Linked DNA regions of Schizosaccharomyces pombe. The gene in region 1 interacts genetically with each later gene. Each region holds a gene or a part of one and is shown in the gene's direction. Other genes may lie near its edges.

The links.
Region 2: mutations in get1 (region 1) and SPOM_SPCC306.07C together harm fitness more than expected from each alone (negative genetic interaction), as found in Schizosaccharomyces pombe (2 studies listed by BioGRID).
Region 3: mutations in get1 (region 1) and tfa2 together harm fitness more than expected from each alone (negative genetic interaction), as found in Schizosaccharomyces pombe (2 studies listed by BioGRID).
Region 4: mutations in get1 (region 1) and xks1 together harm fitness more than expected from each alone (negative genetic interaction), as found in Schizosaccharomyces pombe (2 studies listed by BioGRID).

What each region holds. Positions count from the first base shown.
Region 1 is NC_003423.3:4,316,672-4,322,298, forward strand, and holds get1 (GET complex subunit Get1), read left to right. Parts: upstream 1-2,237; 5' UTR 2,238-2,275; coding exon 2,276-2,362; intron 2,363-2,410; coding exon 2,411-2,777; exon of another isoform or gene 2,778-2,870; coding exon 2,871-2,932; 3' UTR 2,933-3,448; downstream 3,449-5,627. Other genes in the region: m-AAA protease Yta12, read left to right, coding at 1-1,938; SPOM_SPBC16C6.01C (lysine methyltransferase), read right to left, coding at 3,449-4,870; protein Spo2, read right to left, coding at 5,550-5,627.
Region 2 is NC_003421.2:417,779-423,532, reverse strand, and holds SPOM_SPCC306.07C (U3 snoRNP-associated Cic1/Utp30 family protein), read left to right. Parts: upstream 1-2,362; 5' UTR 2,363-2,397; coding exon 2,398-2,460; intron 2,461-2,520; coding exon 2,521-2,654; intron 2,655-2,833; exon of another isoform or gene 2,834-2,875; coding exon 2,876-3,533; 3' UTR 3,534-3,904; downstream 3,905-5,754. Other genes in the region: mdh1 (malate dehydrogenase), read left to right, coding at 805-1,830; family protein BIG1, read left to right, coding at 4,060-4,151, 4,214-5,057. UniProt on the Schizosaccharomyces pombe protein: Involved in rRNA-processing and ribosome biosynthesis.
Region 3 is NC_003421.2:577,844-583,557, reverse strand, and holds tfa2 (transcription factor TFIIE subunit Tfa2), read left to right. Parts: upstream 1-3,000; 5' UTR 3,001-3,244; coding exon 3,245-4,102; 3' UTR 4,103-4,338; downstream 4,339-5,714. Other genes in the region: SPOM_SPCC1672.09 (triglyceride lipase-cholesterol esterase), read right to left, coding at 1,363-1,886, 1,932-2,319, 2,436-2,892, 2,931-2,965; U3 snoRNP-associated protein Utp21, read right to left, coding at 5,254-5,714. UniProt on the Schizosaccharomyces pombe protein: Recruits TFIIH to the initiation complex and stimulates the RNA polymerase II C-terminal domain kinase and DNA-dependent ATPase activities of TFIIH. Both TFIIH and TFIIE are required for promoter clearance by RNA polymerase.
Region 4 is NC_003421.2:702,285-708,754, reverse strand, and holds xks1 (xylulose kinase), read left to right. Parts: upstream 1-1,856; 5' UTR 1,857-1,978; coding exon 1,979-2,947; exon of another isoform or gene 2,948-3,032; coding exon 3,033-3,527; exon of another isoform or gene 3,528-3,578; coding exon 3,579-3,782; 3' UTR 3,783-3,945; downstream 3,946-6,470. Other genes in the region: protein meu15, read right to left, coding at 27-80, 139-415; retromer complex subunit Vps5, read right to left, coding at 4,418-6,148.

The sequences.
Region 1 (5,627 bases):
ATAGCCTTAAATGGCAACACTATTTTAGGTGGAATTTTAGTTGCCTATATCCTTTACAATGTTCTCTCGCCTAATGCAAATATGCAAGAAATTACTTGGCAAGATTTTCGACAACAGTTTTTAGACAAGGGTTTAGTTGAACGGCTAGTTGTTGTTAACCGCAATATGGTTAGAGTTATTTTGAGAGGCGGTGTAGCTTCAGGTTCAGGGCAGTACTATTTTTCAATTGGTTCCATCGACTCTTTCGATCGAAAACTAGAGGATGCACAACGTCAACTGGGTATTCCACCTTCTGAATTTGTCCCTGTCGCTTATCATGACGAAGTCTCTGTTCTTGCTACTTTATTGTCTTTTGCTCCCACCTTACTGATCATTGGAAGTGTCATTTATTTATCGCGACGGGCTTCGGGTGCCGCAGGAGGTGGTCAAGGTGGCATTTTTGGAATTGGTAAGAGCCGAGCGAAGATGTTTAATCATGAAACTGATATCAAAATAAAATTTGCTGATGTCGCTGGCGTTGACGAGGCTAAAGAAGAGATTATGGAATTCGTCAAATTTTTAAAAAATCCCAAGTTTTATGAAAGGTTGGGGGCTAAAATTCCTCGTGGTGCCATTCTTTCTGGTCCTCCTGGTACCGGTAAAACTCTTCTTGCTAAAGCCACCGCTGGTGAAGCTAACGTCCCTTTTTTAAGTGTGTCAGGTTCTGAGTTTCTTGAAATGTTTGTTGGTGTTGGACCTTCCCGCGTAAGAGATCTTTTTGCTACTGCTCGCAAGAACGCTCCTTGTATTATTTTCATAGATGAAATTGATGCAATTGGTAAAGCAAGAGGACGTGGAGGACAATTTGGTTCCAATGATGAACGCGAAAGCACTCTTAATCAGCTATTAGTTGAAATGGACGGTTTTACGTCTAGCGAACATATCGTCGTATTCGCTGGTACTAATCGACCAGACGTATTGGACCCGGCACTTCTACGTCCTGGTCGATTCGATCGTCAAATTACGATTGATCGTCCTGATATTGGCGGTCGTGAACAAATATTTAAGGTCCACCTTAAGCATATTAAGGCAGCCGATAACATCGACTTAATTGCCAAGCGTCTTGCCGTCCTAACTTCTGGTTTTACAGGAGCTGATATAATGAATGTATGTAATGAAGGAGCGTTAATTGCAGCACGATCAAATAGTAATGAAGTCCAAATGGTACATTTTGAGCAAGCTATTGAAAGAGTCACGGCAGGTTTGGAAAAGAAGAGTAGGGTACTAAGTCCTGAAGAAAAAAACACCGTTGCTCATCATGAAGCTGGACATGCGGTAGCTGGTTGGTTTATGGAGTACGTCGATCCACTATTGAAGGTCTCAATCATTCCTAGAGCTCAAGCCCTTGGCTATGCTAGTTATTTACCCAAAGATCAGTATCTGATGAGTCGAGGGCAGATTTTAGATCAAATGGGAATGGCTTTGGCTGGGCGTGTTTCTGAAGAAATATTTTTTGGACCAGAAAAGATTACTTCGGGAGCTTCCGATGATTTTCAAAAAGTAACGCGCATGGCTCAAGCGTATGTGACCCAATATGGTATGTCTCCGACTGTTGGTACTATAGCTTATCCCATCGACACTCGGGAAACTGTTCAAAAACCATTTTCTGAGGCTACAGCTCAAATGATTGATGAAGAAATTCGAAAGCTTGTAAAGCATGCATACGAAAGAACTAAGAAACTTTTGCTAGAACATAAGCAAGGCTTAGAAAATATTGCTCAACGTCTATTACAGAAAGAAGTCATCACTTATAACGAAGTTGAGACGATTCTTGGACCAAGGCCATATGCATACAAACATTTAAATATTTCTGAACTTATGCGTCAGTCTGAGTATAAAAATGATCACGATCCTCGAAATCCACCAATCCCCCCATCTCCTCAACAACCTTCTGCCTAATTTGTCAATTTACTGAATTTAAATAAAGCGTTATGAATGAAAATAGTTACTTTCATGGATCTCATGATCAAAGTATTTGTCAATTGAATATCATATAGCTATTTTATCTATTTTTTCTATTTAATATTACAGAAGCTAGATAAATATACTTAACATCAATTCTTCTGAACTTTAAAAGGTTAATAGATTATTATTTTCTAACACAAAATAGCTAATATCGTAACAAACAAACTTGTGTTTAGTTTCGACCTTTAGACCAGCATGTCATAGGGAGCGTGATACTCAACAGTTACACGTTTGACACTAACCACTGTACTTTCTTACAAGTCCATATTTTATGATGGATCTGATTATTTCAACAATTTTATTAAGCTTATTTATTCATTTCTTCGATAAATTTGCAAAAAAAAGGACTATTGATGGGGTAATTTAACATATATACTTGTTGTAAAGAAAACTAATAATGTGAAAGGCTTATCGAATTTACGTTAGTGTTTCTAATAATAAAGATTTAAAGAAGAACAAAGAAATTTTAGAGCAGCTGCTTACTGTTAAGAAAGAGCTAAACGCTACTAGCAGTCAAGATCAGTTTGCTAAATGGGCCCGTCTGAATAGAAAGTATGAACAACTCAGTCAAGAGTGGGAAAAACAATCAGCCAATGTTAAAATTTTCCAAGATACTTTCAAGCGGGTTTTAAGCCTTTTTCTTTGGATTTTAACCCGTGGATTCCGGTTTTATATTCAATTCAAAGAGTCCAAAACACCTGTCTTTTTCCTCCCTGCATTCTTGCTTCCTTCTTGGGCTCTATGGGTGCTATCTCTTCCACGATCAATCTACGGTATGTTGTTTTTAATGAAAATTCTGAAAATCTTTTTTTTATTTTTATTTTCATTTATCACAATGGCAGCTGAAATACTAACATGGCATGTAGGATCGGTTAGCTTAACAGTTTGGAATTTTGCGGTTCAAAAAACTATTTCCGGGATATTTTGATCTCCAAATCATCAAAGACGGTGACTAATTTTAATATTTTATCATTTAGTTTAATTAACTAAAGGGAAAAAGATGCCATATGTATTTTCAGTAAAGTCATTTTATAAATGCGTTTTCTACTTCCTTTTCTCATAAGAAAGAATGCCATGGAAAGCATAGTTTACCATGCACGATTAATATTATGTTATTCCTTCACAAATTGTACACTTTATGTGCTCTACACTGGTTTTCATCTAAATTGTCATCGGATTTCTTATTTCTATGCCTACTAATTCATTTGCTTAATTTGACGCTTTCATATTTCTGATGCTGTTTATACCGAAAGTTTGAAATGGCAAATAGGTTATTTATTACACAGGACATCTAGAAAGGGAACGATGCAGGGTTTTGGAAAACATCATAAAGTTACTACAATGTTAATTAAGAAGGGCACAAAATTATGATTAAAATTTAAGCTGAACTTCGATCTTACCTTTTCCTTTTATGCAACATTTCCAACCGTTGTATGTTGTTTTTTTAATCTTCAAAATTTTCAGTACAAAGATAAATTGTTTCTTGCATTGATTTTTCGAGTAAATTAAGTTCATGATAAAAAATTTGTAAGACTAAACGAGACCTATTCTCTCGTTTAAGAGTCGGATCGCACAATAGAGTCTTATAAGCTTCAGCAGTCAACCCACCATTTTTGAAACGACTAATGCGCTTTTGACACAGCATCTGTAGAAATTCTATAGCCTTACAATAAAAAGAAAAACCAGAGAGTTGAGCAACAACCTTTTCTTTTTCTCCCTCCTTATGTGCTATAAACACAGCCCAGATTTCATTAAAATACTTTGTAAGCATTACTATATTCATATCGCACTTTTGGAATTTGATTTTGTAAATGCAAAAAAATAAATATAAGTAAAGCCCGTAACTGGGACCATGATCTGTTATTATATAAAGATCCATAGGTTGTCTTATCATTACTGAACGTAAAGTCTCAGACTTGTCATTTGCGTATGTAGTTGGGGTGACCAGCAACTCCTGGGTGTTGATTATTCTTTTTTTATGAATCCACTCCATATAAAAATTTCTGTTAGTTTCATAAGCAATCATTGTCATGTCGACGCGCCAAACTTTGCAAGCGGTATCAATAAATCCATACTGCGTGAACAATTCATCAGCGGCAAAGTTTCCGAAGGAGTTGAATATTTCGGACATCTTTCGTATATACTGAAAAGAAATAAATTCTATTTTGATATCGCCTTTATGATCATTTGACTCCTGACAATGTAGCGAAGCAATAGCTGGACCAGACTTGTGATTAAAAATATCGAAAAAGGGTATTAAAGATAAACCGTAGTAGCTGTTAACGTAAAAACACCTGCTTTGGACGAGAACACAAGTCTCTAAATACTGATTCCATTTTGGACAAAGCTGTTTGAGATCAGCATGTTTATAAAAGTAAGGGCGGACCAATTGATCATATTGATTTTTGTATACTCTTAAATTTGTATTTATTACATCAAGCATTGAGGTTCCCTCAAGACACGTTTTATCTTTCCATAATAATGGGGAATCAGGCATACAAGTTTCGTCCAAGGTGTTTAAATAAGCGTTCCACGGACTATCTGTTATATTTTCCAATATTACAGTTATAACGAGCATGACCAGCCCAACCTGATCTCTATTGTCAAAGTTAATATCATCAGACCGATTAGATTCATTAAAATGTGTATACAACGAATCTCCAAATCTTGAGTTGCGAGGACTCAGAATGATCCTTCTAGGAATCTTTGCTAAAACTTCAAGTTCATCTATATCAAAGGTAGAAAATATACCATCTCCTGCGACCCCACTTGAAGCGATATACAGTTTGGGTGAAATGTAAGCTTCGTGTTTTGCTAGCCATTCAAGTAAGGGTTGGTACTTCAAAAATTGCTTGGAATTGTTCATGCTTTATTTAACATGTTTTAATAAGTAGTTAATAATATTTTTTATGCGCTTTCCGGCAATTTTGAACATTTGAAAGTTAATATCTTTTCAAAGCAAATTTGATTTTAAGCGTAGGTAAATACTCCAACCTTCTGATGTACACATTGATTTTTTGAGTAAAACTTGAACGTATCTTAGAACAGAAGATAATTAATTTCTCAAATTATGTTTAATAAAGCACATTAGTCTGTTCAAACTTGATTTTTAATCCGCTACGCGTTTTCAACCTGTCCGATACAGAAGGGCAATGCAGGATGGATCGTAAATATAAAAACTACTATAAGAATATGATTGAATACGATTGAAAAGGGGTAATAAACAAACGCTTTAAATATAAAAAGCTTCTTCATGGTGATAATTTTACCAAGAGTTGTACAGACTTTTCGCAATAATGCTTTTTCATACAAATAAATTATTTCATTTATAAAACATTCATAATTAAACAGTAGATACTTCCATCAGTAATGGAGAGATGTAAAAAACTAAAAATAATATATGACATAGTTTGCACATTACTTCCATTCACTATCCGTCGTAAATTGTCATGTCAAATTTTAGAAGGAAAAGATACACATAGACTGAGTATGCTTAATAACTAATAAATTCGAAGAAATTTACATCGACTCATATGTCCCATTTTTTACGGTTCGCTTGAGGAACTAGCATAATATGCGGTTGCTTGTTCTGTTCTTTTCTTTAATTTCACATTCTCAATACA
Region 2 (5,754 bases), on another chromosome or scaffold:
CGATCTTTAATGCCCGTTGAGATCGATTGCGTAATGCTACAACCTTATATTGAGTGTAAGCACTACCCCACAATTCGTATATATACTGTACCAACTCACTGTGTGATTCTCAACTTCAACATATCTTCCAAATAGTCAACGTATAATCAACAAAGCTCGGGACCTTGCCTAAAAGTATCTAAAACGACTTCCAAAAGCGTACCTCGAACTTGTTAAGTTTAAGGTAAGTAAAAGTGAGTATGCAAAACGATCAAGTTACATCCCAATTTGCCAGAAAAAATATTTTAAAAATGAATAAACCGACGTAAATACTACTCTTGAGACCTTTTTATACACACGAAAGTCGATATTTTTTTTGGAAAAAAGTCTTGACATAAACAGCTACGCCAGTCTTTATGTACCGTACCCGTTTCTCCGAGGTCACTAGGTACAGGACTTTCTGAAGGAATATTTTATAAGAGATGCTATACGCATATGCTTTTTTATGCTTAGAATCGGCATGAGGAGTTTGTTTGTAACCAGGATGTCGAGTAGCTTTGCTTTGCTAGTCAGTCCGTATAAACGTTATGGTGTAGGATGCGGCTACTCATGTTTGCATATATATACATATTTTATTTTCAACAAATTTTTCTAACTTTTGATATAGTGTCTAGTATCTTCTGAAGAAAAGAAGAATCAACCTTTCAACTGGACATTTTCTATTGAAATTTCTTTTACCCCCCTCTCTGTCTCACACACACTCTCTCTATTTTTTTTAAATACCCGTGTTCTCTACTTTGCTTTGCGAATTTGTACCTTTCAAAGATGTTTGCCAAAGTAGCTTTCAAAAACTTTACTCCCCTTAAGAGTATCGCTCCCCGTTCTTTTTCTACGACCTCCAGTCGCGCATTCAAAGTAGCCGTTTTGGGTGCTGGAGGAGGTATTGGCCAGCCTTTGTCAATGCTTTTAAAACTGAACGATAAGGTTAGTGAATTGGCCTTGTTCGATATTAGGGGAGCTCCTGGCGTTGCTGCCGATATTGGACATATCAATACCACTTCCAATGTTGTTGGCTATGCTCCTGATGACAAGGGACTTGAAAAAGCCTTGAACGGTGCTGATGTGGTCATTATTCCTGCTGGTGTTCCCCGTAAGCCCGGAATGACTCGTGATGATCTCTTTGCTACTAACGCATCGATTGTGCGGGACCTTGCTTTTGCAGCAGGTGAAACTTGTCCCGAAGCCAAATATCTCGTTGTCACTAACCCCGTAAACTCTACTGTGCCCATCTTTAAAAAGGCTTTAGAACGTGTTGGCGTTCATCAACCCAAACATTTGTTTGGTGTCACCACACTTGACTCTGTTCGTGCCAGCCGTTTCACCTCTCAAGTCACTAATGGCAAGGCAGAACTTCTTCATATTCCTGTTGTTGGCGGTCATTCCGGTGCGACCATCGTACCTTTGTTGTCCCAAGGCGGTGTTGAATTGACTGGTGAAAAGCGTGACGCACTTATTCACCGTATCCAATTTGGTGGTGATGAGGTTGTAAAGGCGAAGGCTGGTGCTGGAAGTGCGACCTTGTCTATGGCCTATGCCGGTGCTCGTATGGCCTCCTCCGTACTCCGTGCTTTGGCTGGTGAGTCTGGCGTTGAGGAATGCACCTTTGTGGAGTCCCCTCTGTACAAGGATCAAGGAATTGATTTCTTTGCCTCTCGTGTAACTTTGGGTAAGGATGGGGTTGACACCATTCACCCTGTTGGTAAAATCAATGATTATGAGGAGAGCCTTCTTAAGGTAGCTTTGGGTGAGCTGAAAAAGAGCATTACGAAGGGTGAGCAATTTGTAGCATAATCTTTTATGAATAACAGAAATGATATGATATTCTTTATGAATGTTTGTTTTCTCTTGCTTCTTTCGTGTGTGTTATTTCTTTTACTTTAGTCAAAAAGTAATCTGTATACTGCATTCATAGTGTAGGTATGAATGTAAAAATTATGTTACAAGGTTTCCTTTTATATGTGCGGTTGTATAGAAATTTCATATCTATTGAATTCCGTTTTTACAGTCGAATAGATGAGGGTTTTCAATATGCGGAGTTTTGCGAAAAGCGATGATTCAAATTTACAATAACCACTAAAAGAAAATTGTTAAACAAGTAATAGATAATAAGTTTTCCATTCATTCGACATTTGCGGTTCTTGAGTTGTTGGCCTTATTTATCTAGTATCGTTTCAAAGCCATCAATTTAATAAGGCCATGGCATATAAGACAGAACAATTGTTCTTTGATTAATTCTTTACAAACTAAACTTTGATAATGATATGCTACAGAACTTTCAATAGCATTGTAATATTAACTTCTCTGACCAACCCAAGTTGAACTTGCAAAAAGCCATCCATTACTTACATCTTAATAGAAATGGCGATTACAAGTGAAAAAAAGAAAAATTTAAAGTCATTGGATAAAATTGACATAAAATTAGTAAGAAATTTTTTTTTTAATTTCAAATTATCGTGCAATTTACTTACAAATAATCAATAGCTAGAGAAAACAATTAGAGCCCTGCTGCAGCACATTCGATCCTCTGATAAACCTATTGAAAAAGAAAAGGTTTATATTCAGGTTAATACATTCCAACCCGTTGAGAAAGAGTCGCTTAGAAGACCATCAAAAGTGTAAGTGAGCATTAATGATGAATTAAGTTTCCTGAAGTAATAAGATCAACAATAAAATTTTTGTTCTTATAATTACTTAAAACCTTAAGCTTCTACTGCTTGTGCAGAAATAAAGAGGTATTACGGTTTTGTTGATTTGCTAATAAATCAAGCTTGTTGTAACATTCATAGAATCGATGCGTGTTCTTCATTAAAATTATAAGGTACTAACTATTTTACAGATTCCTTCCGCACAGGATAATGCATGTAACAGATGCTTGTTTGATTGTGAAAGATTCACAGCAGACATATCAAGATCTGGTGGAGCAACAAGGGCTTGACGAAGTCATTACAAAAGTACTTAGCATCCCGAGATTGAAATTAAAGTATAAAACAATCCGAGAAAAATGTGAGCTACGAGACTCTCACAACCTTTTTTTGGTTGATGATCGTGTATTAAAATACATCCCCCTATTGATGGGGAAAGTTTTTGAACAGAAAAAAATTAAGCCATTTCCTATTTCTGTTTTACAAAAGAAAGAGACTTTGCGTAATCAAGTTGCTCGTTGTCTTCATTCTACTTATCTTAAGTTATCTGCCGGCACTAGTCATACCATTCTCTGTGGTTTGGCCACTCAAACCAATGAACAATTGTTGGAGAATATTACGACTGTATTGAAGTGTCTGCTAACTAATTTCATTCCGAAAGGGTGGTCTGCAATTGATAATGTTGCGATTAAAACAGCTGACAGTGCCTCTCTGCCAATTTGGACTAGTGACACCAATCTTGCTGCTCATAAAAGACACATTGTGCACATTCAAGATGCAAGACCTCTTAAGAAAAGTGAACTGCGTGCTCAAAAACGGGGTTCTTCTGGAGAAGGCAAAGGGAATAAGTGAAACTGACTTTCGCTTTCCTAAATTGAAAAAAAAAAGTATTTTAAAATAATTACCATTTTTCTACTAAGGCTAGAAGAAAGAGTTTTGACAATGTATTTATAAACACCATTTGACTTTGCCTGTTTCAAATTTCTGATACATTTCTTTCCTTCGATGTTAATTAGTTATGTGAAAAAGCTTTGAGTGGCTGAAAGCAAAAGGGATTTACAAGGGCACGTCTTTTATAAACGGGTATTTTGGACTGAGTAATAAATAAGGGTTTTTGTGTATAACAAGTGTCATGGACTATTGTCATGATTTTGGAACAAAATCTACACCGTCTTGTGTTTTGTAGTATTATTTTTTTCTCGTAAATAACATGTTATATTTACATAATCTATCTGCTTATATGTAGCTTGTTCATTCAGAAGGATTTTAGTACCTTTAGATACTGAAAGTAGTATATAGAGCTATTCTCTACCACTCCAACGCTCAAGCAATTGACAACATCCAAACTTGTCCAAAGTAAAGAAAATTTAGTGTCAAAATGTTTTCTTGGAGTATTTTATTTATAGTTTGCTTTTCTTTAGTATCAGCATTTAAAGATACTTCGCCGATTTTCTTATTTTCTACGAACTCGTATGTCCTGCATCCATCGATGGCATTATACTGTGTAAATTATTTAATCTAACTAAAAACAGCAAACTCCCCAAATCATCCGATGATTCTTCAATATCCACTTGCCCTATGATGTTTTTTGACGCCGCAATTGAGGCACTTTCGACATGCAATACAGCTACCTTAATTATACATCAACCAGGCCTTGAGGTTAATGATTTTCAGTTGGGAGCTTTTAAACATTTAAAGCGTGTTTCTTTGCAATCACCCTATAGCTTACTTCTTCCTTATTCCAAGGAGTCTTTGGACTCACAAGAGTTGGTGCATTCGGCAAAGCAAAACTGCGACGTTGAGGTAGTTTACTTGGGTGGATCCTTTAATGCTTTTCCTCCTCTTCAAAATGATCGCATAACTGTTGTTTACATGAATGAACTGTCAAATGAAAGTTATCATAGAAGTGCACAATTAATGGAATTGGATGAAATGTTCTACAACTTACAATCTACCTTGGAACAAGATGCTCAGTGGAATGTAATTATAGCCTCTTCTCCTTTGAATAACTCAGATTTTGAAGGATTTAAGGTTGATGCTAACGAAGAAGAGGCCAATGCTGAATTTGTAATTCAAACGCTAGGTGGTCTCAACTCAGGGAAGAGTGCTCTTCAACACGGCCAATTGGCTTCTTTACCTGATCAAAATGAGGGATCACAAACCACGCTTGCTATGCACCAAACAAGGAAGCACCCTGTCACCGACAATGGTGCGACGGGACTGTTTACCGAATATCAATTTTTTACTCCTGGTTTGTACATGGGTTATTTGGCATTGGCTGTATTGGTTCCAACTTTGTTTATTTCTTGCCGTTTACTTTCCTCTATTCAAATCAGCTATCACGCTTTTGATAGTCCTCGACGCAAACAGTTATAAACCTCTTCTTAAGGTGAATAAGCTGAAGAAGTTTCAATTTATTTCTTTCTTTCATAATTGATACATCTCACACTTAATTTAGAAGAAAATTATTGTCATAAATGGTTCTTGATAAGTATAGTTTGGTGACATTTTTACCTTTCAGCGCAATTCCTTAGGTGTCCAAATGGTTAGAATGATCTTTGTTTTTTAATATATTGAAGTCTATTAAATAGTTTTTTGGACTGAAGAATTTATTTCTTGTGATGAGACAAACTTTATAACCATAATATTGTTTTTTCTTTATGATGATTCTCTACGGAAGGTGAAAGTTGTTGGCATCATGTAGTCAGCATAACTTTGTTTTGCTTTTTGTATTCTATTCAATTAATATTTTTGTTTTGCGGTTTTAAAAATAGTAGATGAATTTGCTATACTTTGAATAAACTAGAGAAACCACTTTAGGCATACAGACTCAATTATGAAATTTCCTTAATTATTTAAAGCAATTTCTTCGTGGCTGATTGTTTCGTAGAATGAGTGTTTGCGAGAGTTTTTTCCTTGGATATTTTCGTTATTAGTTAACATTGTCATTACTTATGGCATGCATCTTCAAGTGATCAAAGCACAATATACCTTAACAATAAGAGTAATATGGATGCAGAAAAGTTTTGAGTATATTTCTATAATTTAGAAAGGTCAAATTCACATATAAAAG
Region 3 (5,714 bases), on another chromosome or scaffold:
GACCGGGAAAGCCACTCAATTCTTCGCTGAAGACGGAACGGATGCATTTTCTTGGTCCGGAGACTCCAACCATCATACTTGACTTCAGGATTGATTTTACTTTACTTATATAACAAAGTAAGTTAAAACCTACTGATGATGGTGAATCATCAACTGAACAGACCCTATATATAGTAAATTTGTTGTGACGGTTTTTACCTTAGGTTAGGGTATTAGAAACGATGTTCTGGAGACTAAGTAAAATTTCATATGTAAACAATGGCTGAAAAGAGAAACTTGTGAAATGACTATGAGTTTTGGCTGATTTTAATTTATATGATTAGCTAGCTTTAATAGCACGTAGTCAGACTTTTGGGTACTTGTCGTGGAAACTTTAACATGCTAACTTGATAAATTATTCGATAACAGTACAATTCAAATCGTGTCTCTTATTTCTTTTAACCTCATCATAGCAATTTACTGATTTTAATTTAAAATATTTATTAAATATAGTTGTGAATTAAAAAAAAAAAATTCCCAGATGAGTACTTTCTTTCTAATGTTATTTATTTTGATATACTGAGGAATTTGTATACCGCATTGCCTTAAAATGCATGCCAACAGTGGTCTAGCTCGTTATTCGTCTCGACTTTTTTTTGGAATAATGCTTGCGTTTGCTAAGTATTTTGAGGAGGCAATTAATATCAGTATATCAATTATAAGAGAGGAATTTAGTATAATTGGAGTATATTTGCACGTTTTGAGTTGTTGATCGTAATCTTATTACTTCAGATGTTTTCATAGCGACTTCTGGTACCCATTGTATATTTATAATTATTGTAACAGTTTTTAACATTGCATTCTTTTTTTTTCTTGCTAAAGTAAATTCATCAAAATTTAGAGGTATTTCTATGAAAGATCTATCCATATCATGTAAATTTTTGTGTTGCCTACATAATCGAGCATCCAAACCTTGGTTGTCGGATACACCTTAATTAATCGGGGCACAGAAGAAATTGAAAAAAACAATAAGCAAAATAATTAAATTTTATGAACCGCAGTCTTAACAGTCATTATTATTAACCTGCTACTTCAAATGCGGTTTTGTTAATGACAGTAAAAAATACAAACACTTCAAAGTATTCAAAGATGAAATTTTCGGTGTGCATAAGCGTAAATAATCACAAAACTGAGAACAAACAGGTCATCAGTAAAAAAAGGCAAAATTTAGCCTTTAGGAAACTTTTTCTCTCTTTTTTTTGAACAAACGGATAACATCAGGGATTCGATATCTAGCAATAATAAAATAGTAACGTAGAAAACATTAACTAATAATAAATATACAAAAGATGTGTTGAGGCAAAGTCTTTCAATTCAATCAAATTAAATTGGTTTATTCCTAGGAGCGATATGATTTTTTTGGATTTCACGATTTTCTTTATCATTCTCCTCATGCTCTGGTGGATGGTGAATGTCACGAAGCCTTCGTAGTACAGGAGGTATAACATAATCTTTAACTGTGTCTGCCCAAATCATGTCCAAGTGTTCATAGCTATCAACCTTAACATGCTCCACCTCCGCAGGCAAAGCATTCAACATCGCTTGGATATCAACGAGTGAGTCGCTGCCTCCCCAAATAAGATAAATAGGGGTGCGAATATTATTTGTAGGGAATTTGGCAGCTTTGTAATATTTGAGGAAATAGTCATGACCAAGCTGGTCATTATCATACATTCTAAATTCTGCGCTTCTCATGATTTGAAACCAATGCACAAGGCACTTTACACTAGTATATGAATACAAATGGGCGAATGAAACCAAGCGTTGATAGGAAGAAATGTTTTGGCAAGACCAGTTAAATAACTGAGACAAACAGTATGCAAGGACTGCATCAAAAAATTTTGGAGCTGGATAAAAATGTCAGTGAAATTATTAAAAGAAAAAAACCGTACCTAAAAAGCTTTGCCAGAATCCGGCAGACGGCAAAATAGATTTTCGTCCGAAAAGGAAAAATAATATGGAAGGTCTGGCTTTTACAAAGGCATCTACAACTCTGTTATGTAAACCTTTTGGACTAATTGCAGGTGCTAACGCTATCAAAGAGTTGATTTTGTCATTCAACAGGGGATGGATACTCAAAGAAGCAAAAGCTTGAGCAGTGCCCTGAGAAAATCCTATATAAGTGAGCTTTGTTTGCCCAGAAGTTTTTAGAATATAGTCAATGGTATCGGGAATATCGTATTGAGCAAAATCGTCAATGCTAAAGTCCCAAAATTCCTTGTCAGTAGAGTCGAAGCGAAGATGTTGACGACTGTATTTATTTCCTCGATTATTTCCGAGCTTAAGCACAATTAGTAAATAATTTTTAAAAAAGAAAACTCGAACGAAAACCATATTAACTTTACCAGTAACTAATTATTTAAAATATGATAAATTGAACGCAGCAAAATACTTACCCAAACATCGTATCCTTTATTTACGAGATCAAATACTAGGCAATTTCTGGGGTCTACATTACAAACCCAGACTTCCGAATTCATCAAAAGACCGTGATGACAGTAAACGACCGGAAGCTTTTTGGGATGAGGAGAACCAATTCTTCCAGGGGAATCCTTCGATATCCTATGAATACAAAGTATGTAATCATCCTCTGTTCTAACGAGATGGTCCTCAACATAATACCCAGAAATTTTGCACATTTCTCGTATGTCAGCTGCATCGTGAATTGCCTTTGCCCTTTGAAGGCTAACGCTTCTCGACCTTGATCTTTTCTTTGAACGTTTTTTAATCTCATTTCGAACTACTGATCGATAAAACAAGCCTAGCGTATTGTGAATCATGAAGGCCAGGCATGAAAGTAATTTTTCAAAGATTACAAAGAAAAACCCCAAAAATAGGGCCATATACTCTTCCCTTTATTTGTCAGTTAATATATTAAAAGATTTGCATACCATTTTAGACGCTGAATAAACGGTAACTGAATCATTTCGCATATTGCGTGGAATGGAGGTACTAAACCTTGCCCTCTGCCAAACAACTATTTTTGGGGGGACTTTTGAAATTGGTTTAAAAGCAATAGCCTTTTAAATTTATTTTAGTATTTTGCAAACAGAGATAAATATTTTGTTTGTTTTCTATTTTTTTACAAGGTTGTCGGTCTATAAGTTCGATTTTGTTAACAAAGCCTTGGGTCATAATTTTGAACAGAATTTGCCCACCGTTTGATAGTTTCATTTCCGACAAGCTAACAACTACTTTTAAGGCTATGAGTTCACTAAGCGATCAATTATCTTCGTTTAAAAAGAAAGTCGCAAATCAACCTATTTATGCAAAACCTCAACCTCGTCAACCAGCTTCTCCGACTCCAACAGCTTATTTGAATTCAAATGATGGACATTCTTCTGCCGCTTCAAGTCCAGGGTCGTATTCCCTGAAGAAAAAGCGCTCAAAGACGTCTTTGGTTTACTCGCAACCCGCTGATTCTGGTGTTGGAACGCATTATTTATCACAGCTACACTATGCAGTTGAGTATTTAAAAGAGAGAAATGAGCCTAAAACGGCTGAGGAAATTGCTTCTTACCTGTCAACTCCATTGACTCCTATGTTACTCAATCTTTTGAAGAAAAATAATCGCATTTATTATGATGAAAGAAATGAAACGTTTACCTTTAAGCCATTGCATAACATTCGCTCAGGAGCAGGTTTATTAGCATATTTAGATTCACAAAAAACCCACGTTGGTATGAGTATCAAAGAGCTTCGAGACGGATGGCCCAACGTTACTGTTGAACTTGAAGAACTAGAAAAACAGGGAGAAGTGCTTTTATTACGTACAAGGAAGGATGGCGTTCCTAAAATGGTATGGAGAAATGACAAGAGCTGCGATTGTCATGTCGATAAGGAGTTTCAACAAGTTTGGCATGAGATTCCCATTCCACCCACTTTGGATTTAGCTTCTGAACTTGGAAAATACGGTTTAAAGCCCACTAGCGTGGATCCTTCAACCGTAAAGCGTGCTGGTCATAATCAAACGCCTAAACAAAAGAAGCCCAAAACTCGACGTGGAAAGATTACGAATACACACCTTAACATTCTTCGTGATTATAGCTCCATGAAACCTTGAAATCATATTAAGGATCCCATATTTTTTAACTAAAAACTGTGTTGCTTTTGGTATTTAATTTCATCCGGTTACTGTGTTGTTGTCTGGTACTGGATGTGTTTGAAAAAATAGCTATCTATCTTACATTCCTTTTTCCAAGATTTGCATGGACTGGACATATTTCCTCTTTGTTTCTTCTAATCTATTTGCAACTATGGAAGAAAACTCTATTGTTTAATGATGATGATTTTTTACATAAACTGTTAAACCTATATTAGCTGACAATTAGTCGGTATTGTTGACAAGTGCATTTATTGCTCTGTAGTTAATTTGCACTAGTATACAGTGACTAAGTAGACAATTACATTTAGTTTAAACAGAAATTCTTATCTTTCCCTTTTGTGCATTGTCGAAATAGAAAGATCAGTTATGTATTGAAAGGTGTGTTTATGTAGGTGAATGTTTTGTGGAAAGGAAAAAAAACGTATTTCTTCACTCATGCTAATAAATTGATTTCATTAGCATGCATTTTTGTAACGAAAAAATAAATTAATATTAGCTCCCGGCGGGACTCGAACCCGCAATCCCTTGATTAGAAGTCAAATGCCCTAGCCATTAGGCCACGGGAGCTAGTTAGTAGAACGTTATATTATGTATATTTTATATATAAATTTATAATTTATCACCATTTTTATCCTATACTGCTAACTCTAAAAGATGTAGAAATATATGGTAATTCGTAAATATAAGAAAGCAGAGTGCATGACTAAATAGAAGATCGATGTTGGTCACTTCAGTGCTTTCCTTTAAATACGTTTGCATTTTCGAGACAATAAAATTGAAACACCCGAGCATTTTGAGTCTCAGCTTACAACTGTTATAAATTATTAAGAAAGGAATCCAAGGTTTTGCAGAATTTCCATATGTGCTTCATTACTTTCTGCACGCTACAATCTCTATGATTTTTTAACTATATAGTGCCTTCAATTTTTGTCATTTACCATTAAAAGATATTTATTTTTTTACCCAAAAATTACTAATGAAATAAAACCTTTTGAACACAGCCAATGTAAGCAATGACATATCCCCTAAAACTTTAACAATTTCCCATCCTAATTTGCTTTTTTTTCTGCTCCTGTTTTGTACATTTACCACTTTTTTACGCAGATGTATTAAGTACGCATAAAGCTCAAAATACCCGAACAGTAGCCCACCAAATCTAAAAGACGCTGATTTTCTTCTTTATGAACACTTTCCCATGCCTTCAAACTTTCAAAAACAGGTACCGTATCTTCGGGAGTATCATGCATTAGTAATACGTCCTCGTGTGACTTCGTAAAGACGGACATACAAGCTTGGACGAGCTCGAAATCTCTTCTTTTAGAAAGCCTTCGTGTCATAATATTGATAAATAATATAAATTCTTCATAAGGCGGGTATGCATCCAATGACCGAATCTCCAAATCGATCTTTGCTGGCCCGAGGGATTTTAAGTACTCGAAAAACGCATCATCATCGTTTCCATGTAATAAAGTAGAAAACTCGGTGCCGGATACTTTTATGGAGGCAACAGCAGTCGGCTTTGAAATCTCAGTTGCTATAGGCTGCTTGGGCACTGTCGCTTCTGATTGAT
Region 4 (6,470 bases), on another chromosome or scaffold:
GTACAAAAAATGTTAGGCTTAGTTACCCTCGTTGGGGCGATTTTTTGCCGCTTCGTTCCAAAAATCAGATCTGAGTTTATCTAGACGATTAGATGGTTAGCAATTTATTTAATAGTTTTACGCAAAGGGAAAACATACAGCACCAGCAAACATAAAGAGTGAGATACAGTTCGTAGTATAGCATCTCGATAATAAAAATCCACTTGTAGGGAACTTCATAATGTTCCAACGCAAAGAATATTGGAAGTAAACCAAGCAGTACCCACCAAGTTTGGATGAGCGCAATGCTGCATAACCACCAGTAACTAATTTTATAAATTTTTTTAATCTCTTCCAAGGGAAGAACTTGTGGTTTTACCTCTTGTAGGTTTGCTGCACCACTTGCGGCTTCATAACTGGGCAAAGTTTCCTCCATTGTGCAATATCTAATTTGTTAGAATGAAATTAAGATGAAATACATAGGCAACTATAAAAGCGACTAAAATCAAACTAAAAAAGAAGGTCTGTTTAAATAACAGTCGCAAATTTGTGAATTGAGCGTGCAGCATTCTCACCTACCTTTCTCAATCTGCAGAGGTAAGAGATCCAAAGAAGGCTAATTTATGTACTTAAGTTTTTTGTTTTAAAGAAATTGGAAAAGAACAAAGGAGTAAGCCTCTTATAAGCAACTGTTGAGGGCATTATGTATGCATATACAAATGCCCTTGACGACAAAACAAATACTATAGAATTCGCTCAACAATACGCAGAAAAAAAAACCGTACAGCTAAACGTCTAGCCACCCCTGGCTTAGCTATATTGATTTTGTAAAAATAGACTCAGAAGTAAAGATTACGCTATCTTTACGACACCATAACTGACAATGTTTTGCTAAAAGAAAACTAATTCTTCGCTCCAAAAACTCTTGGAATTTGTTTAATCAATTGATCAATTAACGAAAAAGTTTATGTAGCGATTTCGTGCCATACTCGAGAAATGGCTTATTGAAGGTTTGGAAAAGTAAATAATAAGAGCGATTTACCAGCTTACAACTATTTTCGGACATTTGAGGGTCTCTAACTTCAAAAGAAAAGGAATTTATTTCGGTATAAACTGTTCATGTTTAGACAGCTTCATTTTAAAAAATATGCTGGTTTTTTCATTAAAGATATTTTCGGCCTCATACTTTTGAGATGTAGCATTTTGTTTTAGCTAAAAAACATGTTACTCATTGAAAAAAATAAGCTTAACAAAACGAAAGTAAGTGGTTCGTTTCTCTAAGCTTAAATTAAGGACGCACATTACGCATATCTTAAAATGATATTTCAGGATCTTTGTGATAACGAAGCCTAACCACAACCATATAGGATTTGTATTATTTCTTGCTTTATTACATACCATTGCTCAGTTCTGAGTACAATTAACAAACAAGAAAATATTAAATTTATTGAAGTAATAACTTTTTAACGATTTTTTAAGTAAACGACTTCATTTCTCCTTCTTTTCGTGTTCTCCCAGAGTTCAGTCAATTGTTGCTGAAACAAGAGTTTTTAGCTTTATTCCTTGTCAGTATCAAACTTTTCAGCCATTTTTTTATATTGATATTCGATTTTGAAACGAATATCACTTTTTTTCAAAGAGTTTTTTGCCAAACGTGTTTCCAACGCGTTGTTTTTCTCTAGAGTAAACAAGGTACCTTACCCCAACAACACTCTGAGTTTTTTTAAGCTAACGTTTGAAAAGGTTTCGGTAAACTGTATCTAAGGTATTTTTACGAACATAATCGTAAGTAAAAACGGACATAAGTCACGGCTAGAACTTTTGGATGTCAATGGTTAACGATATATATATTGATCAGACATATAACTGCGGAAAATACAGCTTAAGGAAGGCGCTAAAACGAGATTTTTCTGTTAATTTGATTTTGTCGAAATTCATTCTTTCCGTTTCTTAAGTACAATATATCGACAGTCATTTTAAAGATTTGACTTTTGTGAATATGTTTTTAGGTTTGGATCTCTCAACTCAGCAGCTCAAGGGCGTGGTCATTGATGAGTCTTTGAACGTGCATCAAGAGGTTGCCGTCGATTTTGATCGGGATCTAAGTGATTACAACACTATCAAAGGGGTCTACAGGAATGGATATGAGGTTTTTGCTCCAGTATGTATGTGGCTAGACGCCATCGATTTACTGTTTGAGAGACTTAAGGCTTCTGTGGATGTTAGCAAAATACAAGCTATATCTGGTGCCGGTCAGCAACATGCAAGCGTTTTCCTGCTTAAGGGAAGTAAAAAAGCCCTCAATTCGTTGGATGCCAAATCTTCTTTAAAACAACAATTGGAAAGTCTCATTCATCCAACATCTCCAAATTGGCAAGATGCCAGTACTACCAAAGAATGCGAGGAGCTTGAATCTTGCATTGGTGGAGCCAAAGCACTAGCGGACCTTACTGGGTCTAAAGCTCACCTACGCTTTACTGGACCCCAAATCAAGCGTTTTCGTCGTTTGCACCCCGAGACATACGAAAATACCGAACGAATTGCACTTGTCTCTAATTTTCTAGCCTCGGTACTTCTGCAAACCGAGGCACCTTTAGACATCAGTGACGTTTGTGGAATGAATCTCTGGGACATTCAGAATGAGAAATTCGATATTCGCTTGTTGGAAGAAGTTGCTGGTAATTCTAAAGGACCCGACTTGGCTAACAAACTAGGTACGGTTGAGATTAACGGGGCAAAACATCTAGGACCAATTGGGAAGTATTTCGTTAAGAAGTATGGGTTTTCTCCTAACTGTCAAATCATTCCTTTAACTGGAGATAACCCTGCCACTATTTTATCCCTTCCTTTAAGACCGGGAAAAGATGTACTATTATCATTGGGTACTAGTACTACTGCTCTAATGGCTACTCAAAACTATGTGTGTTCTCCAGAGTATCACATGTTTGCTCATCCTGTTACGCAGAACGTAAGTTGAACTTGACTTTCTTTTGGTGAAGTAGTTGTTCAAAACTCATCATTTTCTCTGGTTTTCTAACTAACATGGACTTTAGCATTATATGGTAATGTTATGCTATAAAAACGGTAGCTTAGCGCGGGAACAGGTAAGAAACACAATCAATGAAAAATATAATGTTTCGGACAATACCAGTTGGGACCGCTTTAATGAATCGATTTTGAACCCCAACATTAAAGGTGCTGGTGAAAAGAAACAGCTCGGTCTTTTTTATCCACAAAGGGAGATTTTACCCGCAGTTGGACCGGGTACGTGGAGATTTGCAATCCAAGGCACCGAGTTGTATCAGGTGGATAAAGATGAAGAATCATGGGATTATCCAGATGAGGATGCTTCTGCCATAGTTGAAAGTCAAAATCTTGATATCCGCATGCGGATTACTCCTTTGCTAACTGGTATACCACAACCTGATCGTGTTTATGTTGTAGGAGGAGCTAGTCGTAACGAGGCTATTGTGTTTAAAATTAGCCAGGTTTTGGGATGTGATGTTTATCGGCTAAAACACGGCGGTAGTAATGCCTGTGCTGTTGGCGTAAGTGAACGGAAAATGTTGTTAATTAATAGTTACTGACCATCAATTTAGGGCGCTATCAAGGCTGCATATGCAATGAATGGAAAAGGATTTACCTTTGAAGAATATGTAAACAAATCTTGGGATGAGTCCAAGAAAATTGAACTAATCATGAATAAACCATCCGCCCAAACTTATGAAGAATATGGAAAGCTTTTACCTTTCCTCAAAAAGGCTGAAGACATTGCGATTCAACAGTCAGATATCCGGCATTGAATTGATTAAATGCTTTTCCATTTCGCACTTGATTATGTGATTAGCTATTGATATAACGAGATTATTAATGAAAGCGAAATCCACTTTTTTTTTTAAAAAATATGAATAAACCTTAGGATACAAAATGATAAACGTTTCCTACATGAACATTTTTTTGAGCTATCGTTTTGAGAGCTTTGAATCACGAGTCTAAATTAAGACAAATAAATATGTAACATAAAGTAGTCATACACCATATTATTAAACAAATTTTTGCATACGCTTTTACATATAAGTAACACAATTTAAGCAGGAAAAAGCGTTTAAACATAAACAAATATAAAAAGGCTTGAGTAACAAAGACAATTTTTAAAAACATACACAAGTTATTTATTTACAAAGGAGTGTAGGGTTGCTGTAAGGTTAGTAGATAGAATGCAATATTTTAAGGTACATTTTCTTTTCAAGTAATGAAGTACCATGGACGAAAAGGGAAATTGCAAAAAAATAATTAGAATAGAATAGAAATCGTCAGCTAGAGAAGTGCAAAGTAATAAAGCGGTAGTTGGAAATACATTAATACGAATATGGGATAGAAATATTACACGAAAGAAAAACATAAAAATTAAAAGAGTGCATAGGGAAAATTAGAGTCGTTATTGATCCAAAAATGATTCCCAACGCTCAATAATTTCTTTTTGAGATTCAATTGCAGATTCCAACCACGTTTCAACACTAGCTTTGAGATCATCAACTCTACTGGTTGTGAGAGAACTCAAATCTCGTTTTAACAGAGTTGTTGATTCCGAAAACTCTTTTTCCAGATCAGCAGCTTTTGCTCGATATTTTTCGTATTGTTCTTCCAAGTAAGGGAGTGATTTTTGCTGAGATTTCGCTTGCTTTTTACATTTCTCAAGTTGAGTTTTAGCACGAGAAACAGCTTGAACTGAAGATTGCCATGTCTGCCACAACTTTTGACGTGTAGTAAAGGCATTTTTGGCACTCTCCACGTACCGAATGTACTCCTCCAATGTAGTGCCCAGTGTCAAATTGTCTTGAGCAACCTTACGTTCTTGTACAAATCGAAGCTCTACCTGGAGTTGGGAAAGACCATCAAACTTGGATGATAAGGTGGGCTCTAAATCAACTAAAGATAAATTTCCAACAGCCTCGCCAAAATCATGGATGGCTGAAGCGAACTGTATGCGTTGATCTATGGATAAAAGAAGCGCGTGATAAACCGACTTTAGTTGAGTTTCCAACGAATCAAGTGTATCCTTTGCTTCAATTAAAATTGGATCCTGTTCGGAAAATTTAGAAGATCCAGAGGTATGGAAGGCGGAGGTGAATGAGTCAAGTAAACCAGATGTTGAGGGACCTGAGCGCAAAGGACTTGATGAACTCTCAATGAGAGTAGTACGATGTGTCATTCTAGGGTCAAATGTCTCTGCTTCAAGAAACAACTTAAATGAGTAATCATCACGTAGAACCGGATGGGCAGATATTTTGCGAAGCATTACCTCCAAGGCTGCTCGTCGCTGTTCAATAAATTCATCATCAAAACGGCCTACAACCTGCTTTTCCGGGATGGGAGGAATGATACAACCCGGATGATTATTAGAAAGCAATTGATAAAGAAAAGCAAAATCATTATATCGTCTTTGTACAGTCACATTGCTAACAGAAGGTTGATTGTGTTCCTCTAAACGAGTGGAAACCGAATATACGGTATGCGATTTAGTGATTTCCTTAACGGTATGAGGGTCATGAACTTGGATGTAAAACGGGGTAAGAGATTGAGGTGCCGCTGCCGGGTGCGCCTTCTGATTCTCCGTATCTGTTAATGAGGTTGAACCTTGCTTCTGGGAGGAGGCAGATGAGACAGTGTGTGTAAAATTTGGAGCAGAAGATGAGGCAGCGTCTAAAGTATCTACCGTCTGTTCTGAATTTGGTATAGTGGGATTTTCCGTTGCTCCGATAGGAGAAGGGGAAAAGGAGTTCACTTCTGAGATCCAAGGCTTATTTGCAGAAAAATCTGCATTCAAAGCGGGACTAGATCCTTTTAACGGATTAATTTTTGTATTTAAACCAACTTCCAAACGGTTGTTTTCGGGTGCCATAGAAGGTGCATCAGAAAATTGCAAGGGACCTAAAGGTGCAGAATCCAAAGTTAACGTTTCAAACGGAAGAGATTTCAAATTGACGCTTCGTTTCCTAGGAGATGTATAGATATGAGTTTTTGGTGGAGAAGCTTGAACATTCGGCGACTCTTCTTCCACTCCTTCAGCTGAGGGCTCTTGGTCGGTTTTTGGAGGGTTCAGTGGAGAAACGGAATCTGCGAATGGATTAAATGCATCGTCTTCTTCATATATATTATGCCCAAGCATGATGGTGGCCGGTTGGGTTTTTGGATCTGATCACTGAAATCGTGCCTGAAATGGTGATGCGCAGCCCAACGACGACTAGCGAAAAATAACGATGGTTAAATACGTTTAGCAATGCGGGGTGACTTGCGGTGCAACTAGATAAGTGTCAACAATTCAAGTTTCTAATTCCTTTTAAGGCTACATTAAATTATATTTAGCTTGTAGAAGCAGTATATTGCGTTATACAGTATTGTGAGTGGTGGGTGATAATATATTTATCATTGTAACAGCTAATAACTGGACTGAGAATGATGCTCTGTTCAATCTAGACTTCTAATTTTAA